Nothobranchius furzeri: one gene and its partners. The protein of the gene in region 1 interacts with the protein of each later gene in a biochemical or structural test. Links are inferred from orthologs where the notes say so. Each region holds a gene or a part of one and is shown in the gene's direction. Other genes may lie near its edges.

Region 1 (5,204 bases):
GGCTTTCAGCCACTCCCCCTGCTGCTTCCGTCTGCTCTCGTCTGTTTTCCAGGCGAGGTGCAGCTCAATTCGAACACGGCCTATATGTCGATGGTTTGCAGGTGGAAAATGAGGTCAAAGGTTAACATCAATTTCCTGTTTTGGTTAAAGTTTTTACTATTTATATGATAATTTACTGATTATTTTTGTTTTGTATGTTAAATATTACCACATCCACACGTTACATTAAAATTAAAGTGTGAAAAAAAAATCTAATATTTACTTTGGGGTGCCATGACTAATCCAGGGGTAGCTATAGCGCCCCCTAGCGCCCCCTGGCGCCGCCACTGCAACCAAGATGAGTCCAAAGTCACTGATGTGGAAGTCCAAGTCCTTAACTTTGATTTTTCAAGTCATAATCAAGTCATCTGTCCAACTTGAATTTAATGATGATGATAATAAATAAATTCCAGAATTAAAGCTTCTTAAAGTTTCATTTATTTGCTCAAACAAGCAGAAAGTGAAGTTGATTATAAACAAAGAGCTGCTGCATTCAGCAGTAAATCAAACCCAGAACCAAGAACGATTCATGATTTTTGTCCATGTCGTGTCACTTTTGTGCTAAAATATCAAATATGTTCAAGTCATCATCACGTCAACAGATGCAAGTCGATTCAAGTCGCAAGTCATTGGCATTCAAGTCCAAGTCAAGTTGTAAGTCTTTATAGATTTTATCAAGTCAAGTCGGAAGTTATTAAAATAATGACTCGAGTCTTACTCAAGTCCAAGTCATGTGACTCGAGTCCACACCTCTGTTTACTGGTGGAGGATCAGCTGATCTGAGATGCTATACGATGATAAACAGGCTCAATCAGCCTTTCAATAATCAGAATCACTGTGAGGTTTAATGTCCAGGCAGCTCAGGAGGATCTAGTTTTGGTGCAGGAGCCAATCAGTCAACACTTATAGGAAAACACACACACACACACACACACACACACACACAGCGTATGAACATCTGGTATGACAAAGATGAATGTGTGTCAAGGTTCAAGTCAATCATTTTCATAGTGCAGTACACTTTGTTGTTGTCCTTGTTAGGGGATGAAGTTGCTGCTCTGGCTCATTCAGCAGCCCAGCTGGAGATCTAAATGTTTGTGCGGCGTGGCTTTTGCTCTAATGGACAAACAGCCAGCTCCCAGAGAAGCTCCAACAGCACAAGTCCAGGGTGAGATGGGTCAGCCACAATCTTTTGTTCCTGCTTTATGCTTCTGCAGGTGAACAGGTCGTGCAGAGAGGGCCGGTTGCAGCCAGTCACCAATACATGAACCACCTGTTCACCTTAAAGAGAACAGCTTCTATTTTCCAGCCTGTGCGTTTGTGACCTGCAGTAATGCGAGAAGTCAGCAGACTTACACATGGGTGTATTTGTCAATCACTTCAATAAGATTTCCAGATACTTTTTTTTTGGTAAAAGCATGAGAAATTGGGGGTGTGGCATGAGAGTAAACAGTAAACAAATTCATGTTATTCTGAATTTGATGGACCAAATACTCATTTTACTTGTAAAAATATGGTCTACTTTTTTCTGCTGTGTAGAATATTTTAAGTATTTCATTTCCGTTGTATGCATGTTTTTACTGCTGGATAATTATCTGTGATGATTCTGAAATGTTGTTGAAAATTTGTACTTCTCCTGTCCAATATGGCGTCGGCTATGAACGAAAAACATATTTAATTTGTCTTATGAACGTGTTTTATACATAGACATATATGTATGTAGTTTTACAGGCTTGTGAATTTTAATTTAGAACTAATTAAGTGCACTTTTGACTTTGTAATAAAGATAAATTTTGTATTAAAAAGTTAAACCACACGCTAAAACACAAATTGGCCAATCATACAGCTTTGAGAATCTCCAACAACCAATCAAAATCCATCAAATCAAACCATCAGTAGCGAGGGGGTGGGACAAGCAATCTGTCGCATCATGGCTCATCTTTGTGAAAGCTAACCTCTCAGAGCTGTAGCCTTTAACTTATTACTAATATTAATATATTTTTGTTTGAACCTACAAGCATCGTTATGGGTTTGCTGACGATTTTGAAGAAGATGAAGCAGAAGGAGCGCGAGATGCGGCTGCTCATGTTGTATCTTTTATTTTTTATAACGGATTAGCCTAGCTAGAAACAAGGTTAGCATCTCAGAATAAAACTTCATCTGCGTTGAATAATAGCAACAAAAGTCTCTTGTACCAGTGTGTCGCTTTATAACCGAGACAAGGAACAGCCGCTTGGCTCCGTAACGCTTTTATTTGCCCTACTTTAACCTGTTAAGTCCCGTTGTGTGTGCTATGCTAGGTTTGTTGTGGTCAGGTGTGTTGTGTTTTCTTTGACCTGTCGCGTGCAGAGGTCTGGACAACGCAGGGAAGACCACCATCCTGAAGAAGTTTAACGGAGAAGATGTCAGCACCATCTCGCCTACACTGGGCTTTAACATCAAAACTCTGGAGCACAGGGGGTAAGTTCGGCGCTGCGCAGGTCTCGCGCGCGCACGCAACACAAAAGGAACGAATTAATGCATCATCTGCTGCTTCCGCGTGACCATTCCACGCCAAGTTATTCCAATCCAGGAAACAAACGGTTTGTTGCACTTTGTGTTTTTTAGGTTTAAGTTGAACATCTGGGACGTAGGTGGTCAGAAGTCTCTACGCTCCTACTGGAGGAACTACTTCGAGAGCACCGACGGGCTGGTGTGGGTGGTGGACAGCGCTGATCGACTCCGACTGGGCGACTGCAGGCAGGAGCTCAGTGCTCTGCTGCTGGAGGAGGTCAAACTGCATCCACTACTACAGATTCAGGCCATTTTTCTGGTTAAAAGTGACATTGGTGACTCGTTGTTGCAGAGAAACAGTGATAAAGACATAAAATCAAAGATCCTTAGAGGCAGATAAGTGATCCTGGTCCTTGGTGGCTGCTTTTACATAAAGAACTTGAAGCATTGAGGTATTCTAACCATTAAATCAGGAACAGGTGCTTCAGATACTTGCAGAAACTACATTGTGTAGACCTACAGTAGTGTGAAATACGGACAAAAGCGAGAAGTGCCTCCACAAAATGATGCTCTTTTTTCCAGTTTAGAGCTGGAGTCTTTGTTTACATCCTGCGTGGTTGTTGACTCTGCAGAGGTTAGCTGGTGCTACGCTGCTGGTGTTTGCCAACAAGCAGGACTTACCAGGAGCATTGTCTAAAGAAGCTATTAGAGAGGTAAGCCCAACTCTCACGTGTTCATAATTAGAAAGCACAACAATCTCATGAGATGTTCTTCTACAGGCGCTGGCACTGGACGACATCAAGAGTCACCACTGGTGTATTATTGGCTGCAGCGCTGTGACGGGGGACAACTTGTTAGCAGGAGTGGACTGGTTAACGGATGATATCGCAGCGAGGATCTTCACTGCTGATTAAGGGTCGGCGGTAACCAAACTTCTGTAAAAACCTGTTTTTTTTTTTCAGCTGATTTGTGCTTCATGATTTATTTTATTAAACTTGATATCTAGGTTTGACTGGTTTATTTGTAGTGTATTAAAATTCCACAAGTCATGAAACTAGCCTTTCTGAAATTGCCTTGGGATGCTAGACCTGGGAGCTAGAACCAGTTGAGTTTTCAGGAAGTTGTTCAGCTTCGTTGCTACAAACGGGTGCCCATCATATTTGTGTTGGTACTCAGGAGAACCCGTGGTTGCTGCTTGGTCTTCACTTTTAATGCACTTAATTCTTAACTCACAATAGGAACAAAACAAACGCGTTGATGCAACATTTTGATTTTGACTGAAAACAAGAAAATGTACATATTGCCAGCTTAACTTAAAACCTAATTTTCAAATAACATGACTGAATTTTCTGAATGTAAAACACAATGTAAATCGCTGCTTATGTGATAAAATCAAATAAAAATTTAAAGCCCTTAATTACCATTTCAGAGCACAGAAGTTTTTTTAAATGGCATAAACACCGTCTTTATTTCTACTCATCGTCCTCATCATGGGCCTGGCTGCGTCCGGCTTCATTGACTTCCCGAACAACTTTCTGATGTTCTCTGCTGTTCGCATGTTTATCAAACGCTGGATGGTTTAAGTTTTTAGTGCCTATGTAAAAGGCGCCGCTGGTCCGCCAGGGTGAGATTTTCACGGCATAATCTGCACCGAATCTGTTAAGTTTGAAGCCAGCTGACCTCCTGCAGCCACTTCCACAAATATTTTTTTGCGGTTCCGACTCAGTCTGAAGTTTTTTTGGAGGCGGAGGAACACCAAAATAATTAATGGAGCTTGCTTCTTGGACATCTTTAATATGCTCCAGAAATGTTTCTTCTTCCAGTCTTAGGTGCACAAATGTGTGCTGAAGCATCCCCCCCCCCGGTACGCATTATTTATTCTGACAGCGCATGCACACCTGAGGATGTGCACACCTGGCAACAAACTACTTAAGTACATAGAAGCTGACATTAGTCAGCATTTTTAGCTGGAGTTGTTTGAGCTCTACTGACACCTAATGGACAAAAATAGGAAAGCAGACTATTCTCCATGTTTTTTTTAAGTTTATTTAAAAATCAGGAAAATGTGAAAAACCTCAAAGCTGTATTTATAAAGCGTCTTCCTGTCAGGAAGCCCAAGGCGCTTAATTAGGTGCACCAGAAATGTTAACCACGATAAATAAAAGCAATCCAAATGGAGCAAATAAAGTAAACCTTAACGTAGAAAACAAGGTAAAACACATTCAGGGAATGCTTAATCTAGAACAAGACCACAACCCAACAGCAAACGTTTGTAGGAGATCAGGAGTACTTCTGCATCCGCTGAGCCTGGAGGAGGAGGAGACTAGTTAGGATGAGAAGAACATCTCAGATCTGGGAAATGTTAAATCACTAGATCAGAAGATACCAATCAGTCACCAAACATCAGACTGGGGCGGTAACACCTGCTCATCACGTCCATTTAGATCATGTTAAGTTTAACGGAGACATGAAACTTACCAAAAGCATTCTGGGTATCTGACCACATCACAGCTGCTGAGCCTAAAGAGAAGACCAGATGTTCATGATCATGAAGCATTTGGCTGCTTAGATCCATTTAAACATCATAAAGTTTGACATCCGGGATGTGATCAGAACCTGGCTTTCAGTCAATTGAACTCAACCAGACCGCCACACCATCAGAACCCAGCAGG
Region 2 (5,597 bases), on another chromosome or scaffold:
TGAGTTTCTGACTACCTCTACATTTCTACGCCCAAAAAGCAAATTCAACTAATCTCCCACACAACCAGTGCCTTATTTAACACCCATTTAACCAATCAACGTTCAAAAGAATTACCAAAAAGGGACACTATCTCTAATGATAAAAGTTAGGATTTGTTTTTGCCCTCCTTTTTTTTCTGCAGCTGAATTTTTTTCCCTCTATTTCCAAGTTTAACAAATCAATAATTATATTATTAGACTCTATTCACAGCTGTTCTAGATCATTTCAACCCTCAGGAGGCAGGCGTTGCAGATTTGCAACGTTAAAACCTACCTACCTGGTTACTCCACATACGTATTTCATGAGCAGTTTTTCCTTTTATCAAAACTTATTTTAAGCTCGAGAGGGTTAATAAAAAGTAAATATTCAGTAGTGATGGGTTTCACCCTGTCCTGTGGGCTCCAAAACAAATCTGATGGTTGATAATATCCAGTAGTTTGGACGTGTTGACCTAACCGTGATGTCTCCTCTCCTGTCTCAGCTCGTGTCCCAAAGAAGATCCTGAAATGCAAAGCGGTGTCCAGAGAGCTGAACTTCTCTTCTGCTGAGCAGCTGCAGAAGTTTCGGTTGGAACAGAAAGTTTTCTTCAAAGGCCAGTGTCTAGAAGGTAATGTGTGAAACACACTCTTTCAATACAATCTTTATTTTAAAAAAGCCTGACATCTAGTCCTAAAAGTAGATGGGGGGGGGGGGGGGGTCTGCCCAGTGGATGGACACTGGAAACATGTTCCACAAGAGAAGAGCACACCTGTAGTAGACCTGCATACCGACAGCTCAGGGCTTTGTTGGGAACATTTGGAACGAAAAGCTCTTTAAATGAAGTAAATTAGTTCGATGACGATGAAAAAGCTGATGGGAGCGTGTTTCGGTGCTGATCCTAACATCTCATGGGTTTACCTCCACACACCTCCTGACCCCAGAGACGAGCCTGAGCTAAGAAATGGTGTTGGGTGGTTCTGGTGTTTTTCACAGCTGCAGAGTGTTTGCTTCAGTTTTTAATCTACATTTCTGTCATTTTATGAATGAATATCTGATTTGGATAATTTTGTATTTATGTTGAGTGTTTTTTAAACCGTTTTGATGGCCTCTGATTAATTTGATCAGAAATAATCAGTAAACATTGTTAAGGGGAACTGTGCAAAGAGGAAAAAAACAGTAAATGGTCACTGTTCTGATGTCTAAATTATAAATTTAGAGAAGGTGGCCAATTTTCTTGTTTTTTGATTTTTTTACATGAGATTTGTGACGGATGAGAATCTATAATTTCTTACTTTAAAAAAGCCCAAGATCCGCTGTAGAAGTGGTCAGGGTTTTAGATTTGATCCCCTGTTCATCAGTTTGACTCTCCTGATGTAGAACCAGTAATACATAAGCAACCAGTGAGACCATCAAAAGAGCCACGATAACAAATATAGACACATATATCCCTTCTGATGAAACCAGCAGGTAAACAGGAACACACGGATGTGCTAAAATGTAAAATATCGTAGAAAGAACAAACAAGATCACGTAAAGAGTCCGCTCAGGGAACGAGGAGGTTCTCGTGTCTCTGCTCGTGTGTCTGGAGAACTGTTCCCAAGGAGCTACGGTTACTGGAACGCCCTGGAGAAAACATGGCTCTCCCATCACAACACATTCACTTTAGTCACACTTTCATTTCGAGTCTGGAGATTTCACGTCTCCTCACAAATGTTTCCTGGCCACAGTGGTCTGTAGCTCAAAGCCCTGTGGACATTACACACCACGCAGTTTCAGCTACCGATGGTGAAGAATTAAAGCCAGACTTGGCATAGACGCTAATCAGTTAAAACATTTTTATCTAGAGATTTTTGCATTTGAGATGTTTTAGATGTGTTTACATCTGCTGATTGAGACCAGGTTCTGTAGATCCAGGCGGTTTCAGAGCAGATTCCAGGAGCAACTGGCTCAGAAATGGCCCAGAACCAATCAAGTGGAGACACACACATGTCAGGAAGCTCCTGTAAATGTACTCTGAAGTTCCCACAGTGGAAACGCACCTAGTGAGGTGTTTTCTAAAACCAGACGGGGGCTTTACTTCTGCTGGCTCCCCCCTTTCAAAACAGAGAAGGCTGATTTTCAAGCAGAAGGGGCTCCTTCCGTGTCCAAATAAAAGTTTAGCAGACACCTCATTAGACACGAGCCAGTTCTAATGAAACCTACCCTGTGATTATTAAACAGTTTCACAGTAAGTATAACTAACTTCTATCATAAAAATGTCATGGAAGGTTTATTGTGGAAGCAGAGCTGAAGGGCGTGTCTGTCTGTCTCTGTGCAGAATGGTTCTTTGAGTTTGGGTTTGTAATCCCAAACTCCACCAACACGTGGCAGTCCCTGATAGAAGCTGCTCCGGAGTCCCAGATGATGCCAGCCAATGTTTTATCGTGAGTCTGCACAAACCTTTTCTTCTTTTTTTTTTGGATTCACTCGTGATTTTGTGTGTCTGTGTCCCTGAGATGGACTGGTGACCTGTCCAGGTCCCCCAGCTCTCTCACATTGATGCATGAAGGTTTTTGTCCAGAATCATTATCAGACGTAAAGTGAAACACATGAACATGCCATTTCCCCATCCTGTTTCTTTAGCAAATGTTTAGTCATTTATGTGTATATAGAGTTCATGTGGACGTTTTTGTCTATAACCCTTAATTATGAGCAGGAGATCAAACGCTTTGTGTTTATGATCAACTTTATCAGAAAAAGGCAGTTATCTGGTGTTCAGTTCGGGGGAGCTCAGGGGAGGAGGAGCGGGGATGGAAGCTATAGCCATTTAAATTCCTAACTCTGCTCTTTTGCTTGATGACACGATGCTACAGAGAGAACTTTAATGCATATTTAATATGTAAAGTTTATCTGGCGATTCAACACAATTTACAATATAAAATGAAAATATGGTGCATAAGTCCATTTATGTCAGTAATTCAACTTAAAAGGTGAAACTCAAAAATGACAGACATTTATTTGTTATAATTGTGGTGATTATGGCTTACAGCTGATGAAATCCCCACATTCACAATCTCAGACAATTAGATTATTGTGAAAAGGTTCAATATTCTAGACTGAAAGTGTCACGCCCTAATCAGCTAATGAATCCAGAACACCTGCAAATGGTTCCTGAGCCTTTAGATGGTCACTCAGTCTAGGCTGGATTACTGAAATAAATTAACTTTTGCACCATATTCTCATTTTATCAGATTCACGTGTATTGGGATATTAAAAGCCAGATGATATTTGCATTTTTCAGACAGAATTTAACTGGAAAACTCAAGCCAGATGCTTCCAAGACACAGCCACAACAGAATGAAGGCAGTAACACTGCTGCCACCTAGCAGTCAGAGAAGGAACTGCACCACATTAGAGAAATACAGGAAATGTTTACTTGTACATTCTCAATAAAAATTTATACCGTGCTTTAAAGTATCAGTTCAGTTTTATAAAACGAATTGTCACAATATCTTAGTGTATTGCCATTTTTAACATTAGTTATGGCAGCCATTTAAATTAGTTTAATTTCACTTATTTCTAATAATTTCTCAGGTCTTGCAGCCTTATTACAAGAGGAGGGACACATTTGCAGATCAGTTTAAATTCTAGTACAGACACGGGAAGAGTTATTGTTAAAGCAGCTTCATCCAGTAAAGTTCACACCTGTTCTTGTGTTGCAGTGGTAATGTCATCATAGAGACAAAGTTCTACGATAATGACCTCCATGTAAGTACTTCCAGAGTGCGGCTTTTCTACGTCTGACCCCTGGCCTGTCCTTCTACCTTCCAGTTGGCTGATATCCTGCCCGTTGTATAAATAAAATCCAGAGGTTAGCCACAGTTTGCAGCAGTCCACTCTTTCTTACTGTCCTGGAATCAGCAGGTTTGGGTCAGAACCTGCCCCCGTGCCACACTCAGTGATGTGAGCTCCGTACTCTGGATGTTCCCCTGTTTGTGTTGATTTGGAGAACAATGTCTACTCGGAGGAAGGTGGATCTCTCTCAGCGTGACTTTTCCACTGATTTCAAATCGAGACTCAAACACAGGAATCACATGACTTGTGATTTTTACCATGTTTTAGCTTCATTGTTGTGTTCTGCCCAAGGCTACATTAACTCAGGAACAGAGAGCATCAGGGAAGCCATGCCACATGAAAGGTGAAAGGTCAATACTTAGGAACTTTATAAATCTCTTCACATCTAGTTAAGTGTGTCTGCACTAGTTCAAACCATTTTACTGTTACAAGTGCACTGTTACAAATTCCATAGCTGTGTCCCATTTCAGAGGTTAAAGGACTAGCCCCCCACCCCGCATTCTGGGCTCCTACAGCGAGGACAGCACCAACCACTTCCTGTGTGCTAGCAGCCTTAATGTCAAAAGTGAACGTTCTATAATTGGAAACTTGGAAAATATGCAACTTTTTCTGTAGTTCGCCTATTTCTGTGTAATTCCAGCTCAACATTAGTGACTGTTTAAGGTCCTTACTACAGCTTTGCTTTGCACATTCTGACTTCCCATCCACCCCGCTGTATTTGATGTTTTTCTTAGCTGTTGACCTAACTGTACAAACTAGACTTGTGTTTAAATATGGCAGGCATTGTGAATTAAATTACAATGTTTTAATACCAGGAGGTGTTTGCTGTTTTCATTTTGTTGCTTTTAAATATACTTATGTTATAATCTTACGAAGCTATTCGTAGTGACAATAGTGCCAGAAAGTTTCTGATATGTAGAAAACTGCCTTGGACATTCTGATTGTGAACAGCTCTAGTCCTCACTGTAACCTGCCCTGGGGTCACATGACCTGAAGAACCTGGAGTTGGACCTGGAACACTCCTGTTGGGTCATAGGTCAGGAAGGTTTTGCTCTGGGATCAATGAAATATGGGTTGGTGTTTTGGTGCATGCTGTGTTTTCATGTTTCCTATGCAGATGTTGTGTAGTTTTAACCAGCTGTGCAGTTTTAATTACACTTGAAGGTAAAGTACAGCCCTTGACACAAGTCAGTGACAAAAGTGATTGATCCAGCACAATGTCAATAGATACATGTAAGTTAAAATGTACAGAGCCCTCTACTCAAGAAGTATGTTGAAACAAACTTGGAGAAATGGGGATTTAAAAGGAAAAAATCTCATCTTTAGGGGGATTATTTTGTCAATACAAATTATTTTGTATGACAAATATGAAAAATACTTTTAGAAAATAACTTAATCATCCAGCACTGCATCAAGTGAGCTTTTAATGAAAGTTATAAATATGCAAAAATTACTGATTTGTAGGCCAAACTTAAAAATCCCTATATTTGCAAGAATAATAATCTTAAAGTGACAGTATGTACAGTGAACATGTAATACACATTTATCTTTTTAGTTAACTTATTTATGTGAAATCAAGGTTTGGCTGGAGATTGGGAGTTAAAAATCTGATGTTTAACCATCACTGGTATTGTGTTGAATATTTTCTCTCCATTCGTTATATGCTCATTAATACCTAGTAGTGTTTATATCAAAGTGCAAAAAAAACATTAAATGTATTCCAAAATATCTAATTGCAAAACCA
Region 3 (4,669 bases), on another chromosome or scaffold:
TTTGGAATGACTCCAACCCTCAGAATTCTTCTACTTATGTAGACACCAGGCAGGAGGCTAAGAGGAAGACCAAAAAGCAGATTTATGGATGTGTGAAAGAGGACATGAAGTTAATTGATGTGAAGGTAGAGAATGTAGAAGATACAATCATGTCACACCGGTCCTATCGGCCCTTCATTGGCTCCCAGTCAGGTACCAAATAGATTTTTAAATGTAGGTTTTTTTGTTTTTGTTTTTTTAATGCCAAAATGGCCTTGTCCCGTGTTACCTGTCAGAGTTACTGACTTTGCATGTGCCTGTCTCTTTGGTCACCTGAACGTTGACTGCTCGTGCTTCCCCAGATGGGACACAAAAGCAGAGGAGACAGAGCCTCTTCGGTGATTGGTCCCAGGTTGTGGAACAAGCTGCCTACAAATGTAAAACAGGCTGACTCTTACTTGTTCAAATCTCCCCTGAAGACTCGGTTGGTTTTTGCTGTACTATCACGTCACTGTATTATTTCTGTCTTCAATACATGTGCTCATTATGCAGCAATTTTGTTCACGTTGTTTTTTATTAGTGCCTTATAAATAAATTGGATTTGGATACATGGACACAGATGTTGAGAGCCTTCATAGAGGACAAGCCCAAAGAAGAGAGCCTTTTTCATCCAAATGATTTTGTTACAAAAGGCTTAAAATATGTTTATTATACATTAAGTTTAGTTAAATTCAAACTTATTCTAGTTCAAAAGTCAGTATTGACTGCCTGGTAGCCCATCATGCAGCTCAGTACAGGTGAAGTAGCTCTTAACTTCACAAAAGTTGGTGACTTCTGCTTTAAGTAGATTTTTCTGATCGTCCTGGTTTTTTTTCTTTTGTGTGTAAAATTTTTGCAACTACAAAAAAGCTCAAACTTTCCGTAACAGAGTGTAGATGAAATGATTGCTAGTTTCCTGTGAAATCAGGAAAATATGCTTTTTGCTTCTGATCGCATAAGGTTGTGTGTGTGTTTTTAATTTTTTTAGATTACCTTTGCTCTCCAGAAGAAAATGTTCACATGATCGACTTCACCAGATTTAAAATCCGTGACATGGAAACGGGGACGGTCCTGTTTGAGATCACCAAGCCTCCAACAGCAGGTCAGCTCCAAACCACAGAGAGACATGCGTTGTTTGCGGAGACTAAAGCTGCAAAATATTTGTGTGGAAAATATTTGAAAGCCTGTATTTCAAAGGCATATACAATGAACTTGTTTCTTATAGATGGAAAAAGAGCTTATTATGAATTCCTCCTGCAGGATGCCTAAAGCAATGTGACCCAAACACCGGGCGTTTTGTCCGATACCAGTTCACACCAGCGTTCCTGCAGCTTCGACAGGTTGGAGCCACGTAAGTCAAAAGTGTGTGTGTGTGTGTGTGTGTGTGTGTGTGTGTGTGTGTGTGTGTGTGTGTGTGTGTGTGTGTGTGTGTGTGTGTGTGTGTGTGTGTGTGTGTGTGTGTGTGTATGTGTGTGTGTGTGTGTATGTGTGTGTGTGTTAAGCAAACAGAGGAGAGCAGAGAGCATGGTGTAAACTTAACCCAACTGTTCCTGTCACTGCTGCTGCAGTTTCTGCTGTTCATTTATAGTGATAACAGCTAAAATACATCAATAACCACTATAAACATCTAAACAGGCACTAGCCTTAATCTGCCACACACAAGTGCTTGAATGAAACTTTTATGTTAAATTTTCATGATTCACAACTAATTTGATTCAAAGCTGACTCGAACCTCACAGTCAAGTCTGCAGCGTGCAACAAACCTTGACTCTTAATTTAATGCATCACCATGATAATGTGTTGTGATGGGTTAGGGTTATTTTTTAGATGGGTGAAGAGTGGAGCTCCACCCACTTTGTGTAACACTAGCTATAAGGTGTCGTCTACGGGGGAAAAAGATGCCAAAATATTGTGAGAAGTTTGAACAATGCTTATTTGCAAGTAAATGACAGTGTGCCCCAGGGCAACTGTAGATACAGTGTGGATCATTACCACCAGGGTGTGAATGTGTGTGTGAATGGAAGAATGATACACTTTAGTGTAAAGCGCTTTGGAGTCCTCTGACTTTGAAAGGTGCTATACAAGTGCGGGTCATTTATAATTTATCACTAAAAACTGTATTTTTTTTTCAGTAATTCCACATATTGACTAGATCTCTGAACAACATTTGCTTTATCTTTACAAGCAATAACAAAAAAGATAGAAAATAGTGAAAAAAAGGAATTTCAAAAATCCACTCTGATTTTAATTTCAAGATCTCTGAACTTCAAGCCGTTCAATTATTTTTTGTTGTTGTTGTTTTTGTTGTTGTTTAAAGGGGCAACTTTTTCATATTTTTAAATCATTTTCTTGAACCAGTATGTGCTAAAATGACCCTTTGGTTAATGAAATGCTACCCAGCCCCTATCGTCCCCCTGTGGCCAGAATATTCCACTTGCAACTTCAGACTGGCGGCCTCTCTGCTGGGACTTAGAAAAGATAGAGCTGACAAACCTGGCACTGCAATCTGATTTCAGTGCATTTCCTGTATGTTGTAGATCATGAACACAGCTGATTTGTTTAATTTAGTGATGACTCACTCCTGTAGACACTAATGAAGGCTGAGGAGATGTTTCAGCTGTCAGATTAATGTGTTAAAAAGACAAACGCACAACGAGGTTTTGCTTTCAGTTCTACAAACGGACACTAGGGGGGCTAAAAACATGCCAAAAGTGCCTAGTTCCCCTTTAAAACATTTATTATCATCGCTGTGCGCTATTGCAGGGTGGAGTTCACAGTCGGAGACGCCCCCATCAACAACTTCCGCATGATAGAGAGACACTACTTCCGAGACAAGTTGCTAAAGAGTTTTGACTTTGAGTTTGGCTTCTGCATGCCCAGCAGCAAGAACACATGCGAGCACATTTATGAGTTCCCCACCCTGTCTGAGGAAATCAGTGAGTATAAAGATAAGAAATGTCTCAGCACACACAAGCACAGGATTCAGTGTGTTCTCTTTTCTCAGTGCGTGAGATGATACAACACCCCTACGAGACGCAATCCGACAGCTTCTACTTTGTGGACAACAAGCTGGTGATGCACAACAAAGCCGATTATTCCTACTCTGGAGGGCCGTAGGAACACCACTCCAGTTAGATCCAAGACATTTTCCTACGACTTCAGGACCAGAAACACATGGACTGATGGACACGTCGTGACTGGCAGTAGTTTATCCCGTCTCCTGCTGCAGGAACAGTCACTTCTGCCAGTTTTATCACCAGTTTGCACTAGTGAGCGTGTGGGCAGCCAATACATGCAGTGTCTGAACAAACTGTTGGTTTATACGTCAGCTCCATTTGGTCATCATTGTTTTATTTCATTTGAAGTCTGAATTCAGACGTGTTTTAGATTTTATAGTTTGGATAGAAATCTGATTACATTTTTACTTAGAAGTGCACATTTCTGAGCGATCTCGTCTGACATCCGAAGAATGTGAACATAGTGTCCGTGGGTGCATTGTTTGTTTTCATGTTTCCATGTTCATCAGGGGTGTTTTTGAACAAATAGCCTTTTTGAAGCGTCAGAAATAAATGTTAGCCAAAGATCAGGCGACTGTTTAAGGTTTCTGTCCAACTCAACACTGTGTAACCTACGATTCTGAGAAATGTTTTAATGATCAAAATATTAAAACATGTAAACTTTTGTGATAAATTTCACTAATGCAATAAAAATTGGGATTTTTTTTGCGGACATTTAATTTTTTTACACATAAATAAGGGATTAGAAACGACAGCCATTGGGATGTTGCTGTCCTTTATAACGTTTTTTATTAAAAAAAAAAAGGCAATTTAACATTTCCTCCTCCTAGGCAACAAAGAAAACTTCACATAGTGTCTTTGCTGCCATCTCCTGTAACAACAGTTGTACTACACTGTTTGCCCAGTCAATGTCAAATCACAGAAAATGGTTTGTTTGATCAAATTCGTAAATGAGAGACAACTTTTGAATCATTTAAAGCTGCCATCACCCTTTATAGGGCGTTTAATTAAAGGGATACTATTCAACTTTTTTATGTTTTTCAATCATTTTCTTGAACCAGTATGTGCTGAAATGCCCCCCCCCCCCCCCCTCTGGCCAGAATACACAGAATGCCGCATTTGCAACTTCAGAGCTGACATACCTGACACTGCAGTCTGTTTCCTGCATGTTTTACATCATGAACACAGCTGATTTGTTTCATTTAGCAATCATCCTGTACATACATGCAGTGTCATCATAATATCATTTGAATCATTCCTGTAGAAACTAATGAAAGTTGAGGAGACATTTCAGCTGTTTGGTTAAGGTGTTACAGTAAAAAGATGAACACACAGTGAAAAGATAAGTTTTGCTTTTGGTTCTACTAAATGGACACTAGGGGGTGCTAGAAACAAGCCAAAGCTGCCTAGTTTCCCTTTAAACAACTGATAAAATAGTTTCTCTGGGTGCGTAAGTTAAAAAACTAAAGGCTCAAGCTCAGAAACCTTGAGAATTAGCATAAAGTTGTGTGTTGTTCATACGATCGTTTCATAAAAATACTCATTGGTACTTTGAAAATCTAAGAAATAGAACAGCAATTTCAGCAGGTTTTTTTTTTCATTTACTCCCTTCAGAAAAGGAGCTGATACAGTTA

What was found.
Region 2: the proteins of arl2 (region 1) and pde6d are reported together in a solved structure, tested with the Homo sapiens proteins (2 studies listed by BioGRID and IntAct, with this or other methods). The link is inferred for Nothobranchius furzeri from reciprocal best matches to the Homo sapiens genes ARL2 and PDE6D.
Region 3: the proteins of arl2 (region 1) and unc119a1 form a complex in vitro, tested with the Homo sapiens proteins (2 studies listed by BioGRID and IntAct, with this or other methods). The link is inferred for Nothobranchius furzeri from reciprocal best matches to the Homo sapiens genes ARL2 and UNC119.

What each region holds. Positions count from the first base shown.
Region 1 is NC_091754.1:61,093,131-61,098,334, forward strand, and holds arl2 (ADP-ribosylation factor-like protein 2), read left to right. Parts: upstream 1-1,936; 5' UTR 1,937-2,064; coding exon 2,065-2,129; intron 2,130-2,388; coding exon 2,389-2,499; intron 2,500-2,646; coding exon 2,647-2,809; intron 2,810-3,164; coding exon 3,165-3,245; intron 3,246-3,311; coding exon 3,312-3,446; 3' UTR 3,447-3,955; downstream 3,956-5,204. UniProt on the Homo sapiens protein: Small GTP-binding protein which cycles between an inactive GDP-bound and an active GTP-bound form, and the rate of cycling is regulated by guanine nucleotide exchange factors (GEF) and GTPase-activating proteins (GAP).
Region 2 is NC_091756.1:55,095,421-55,101,017, forward strand, and holds the end of pde6d (retinal rod rhodopsin-sensitive cGMP 3',5'-cyclic phosphodiesterase subunit delta), read left to right. Parts: intron 1-521; coding exon 522-647; intron 648-2,336; coding exon 2,337-2,442; intron 2,443-3,720; coding exon 3,721-3,802; 3' UTR 3,803-4,667; downstream 4,668-5,597. UniProt on the Homo sapiens protein: Promotes the release of prenylated target proteins from cellular membranes. Modulates the activity of prenylated or palmitoylated Ras family members by regulating their subcellular location.
Region 3 is NC_091753.1:37,618,760-37,623,428, forward strand, and holds the end of unc119a1 (protein unc-119 homolog A), read left to right. Parts: intron 1-1,006; coding exon 1,007-1,120; intron 1,121-1,278; coding exon 1,279-1,369; intron 1,370-2,781; coding exon 2,782-2,954; intron 2,955-3,022; coding exon 3,023-3,135; 3' UTR 3,136-3,739; downstream 3,740-4,669. UniProt on the Homo sapiens protein: Involved in synaptic functions in photoreceptor cells, the signal transduction in immune cells as a Src family kinase activator, endosome recycling, the uptake of bacteria and endocytosis, protein trafficking in sensory neurons and as lipid-binding chaperone with specificity for a diverse subset of myristoylated proteins.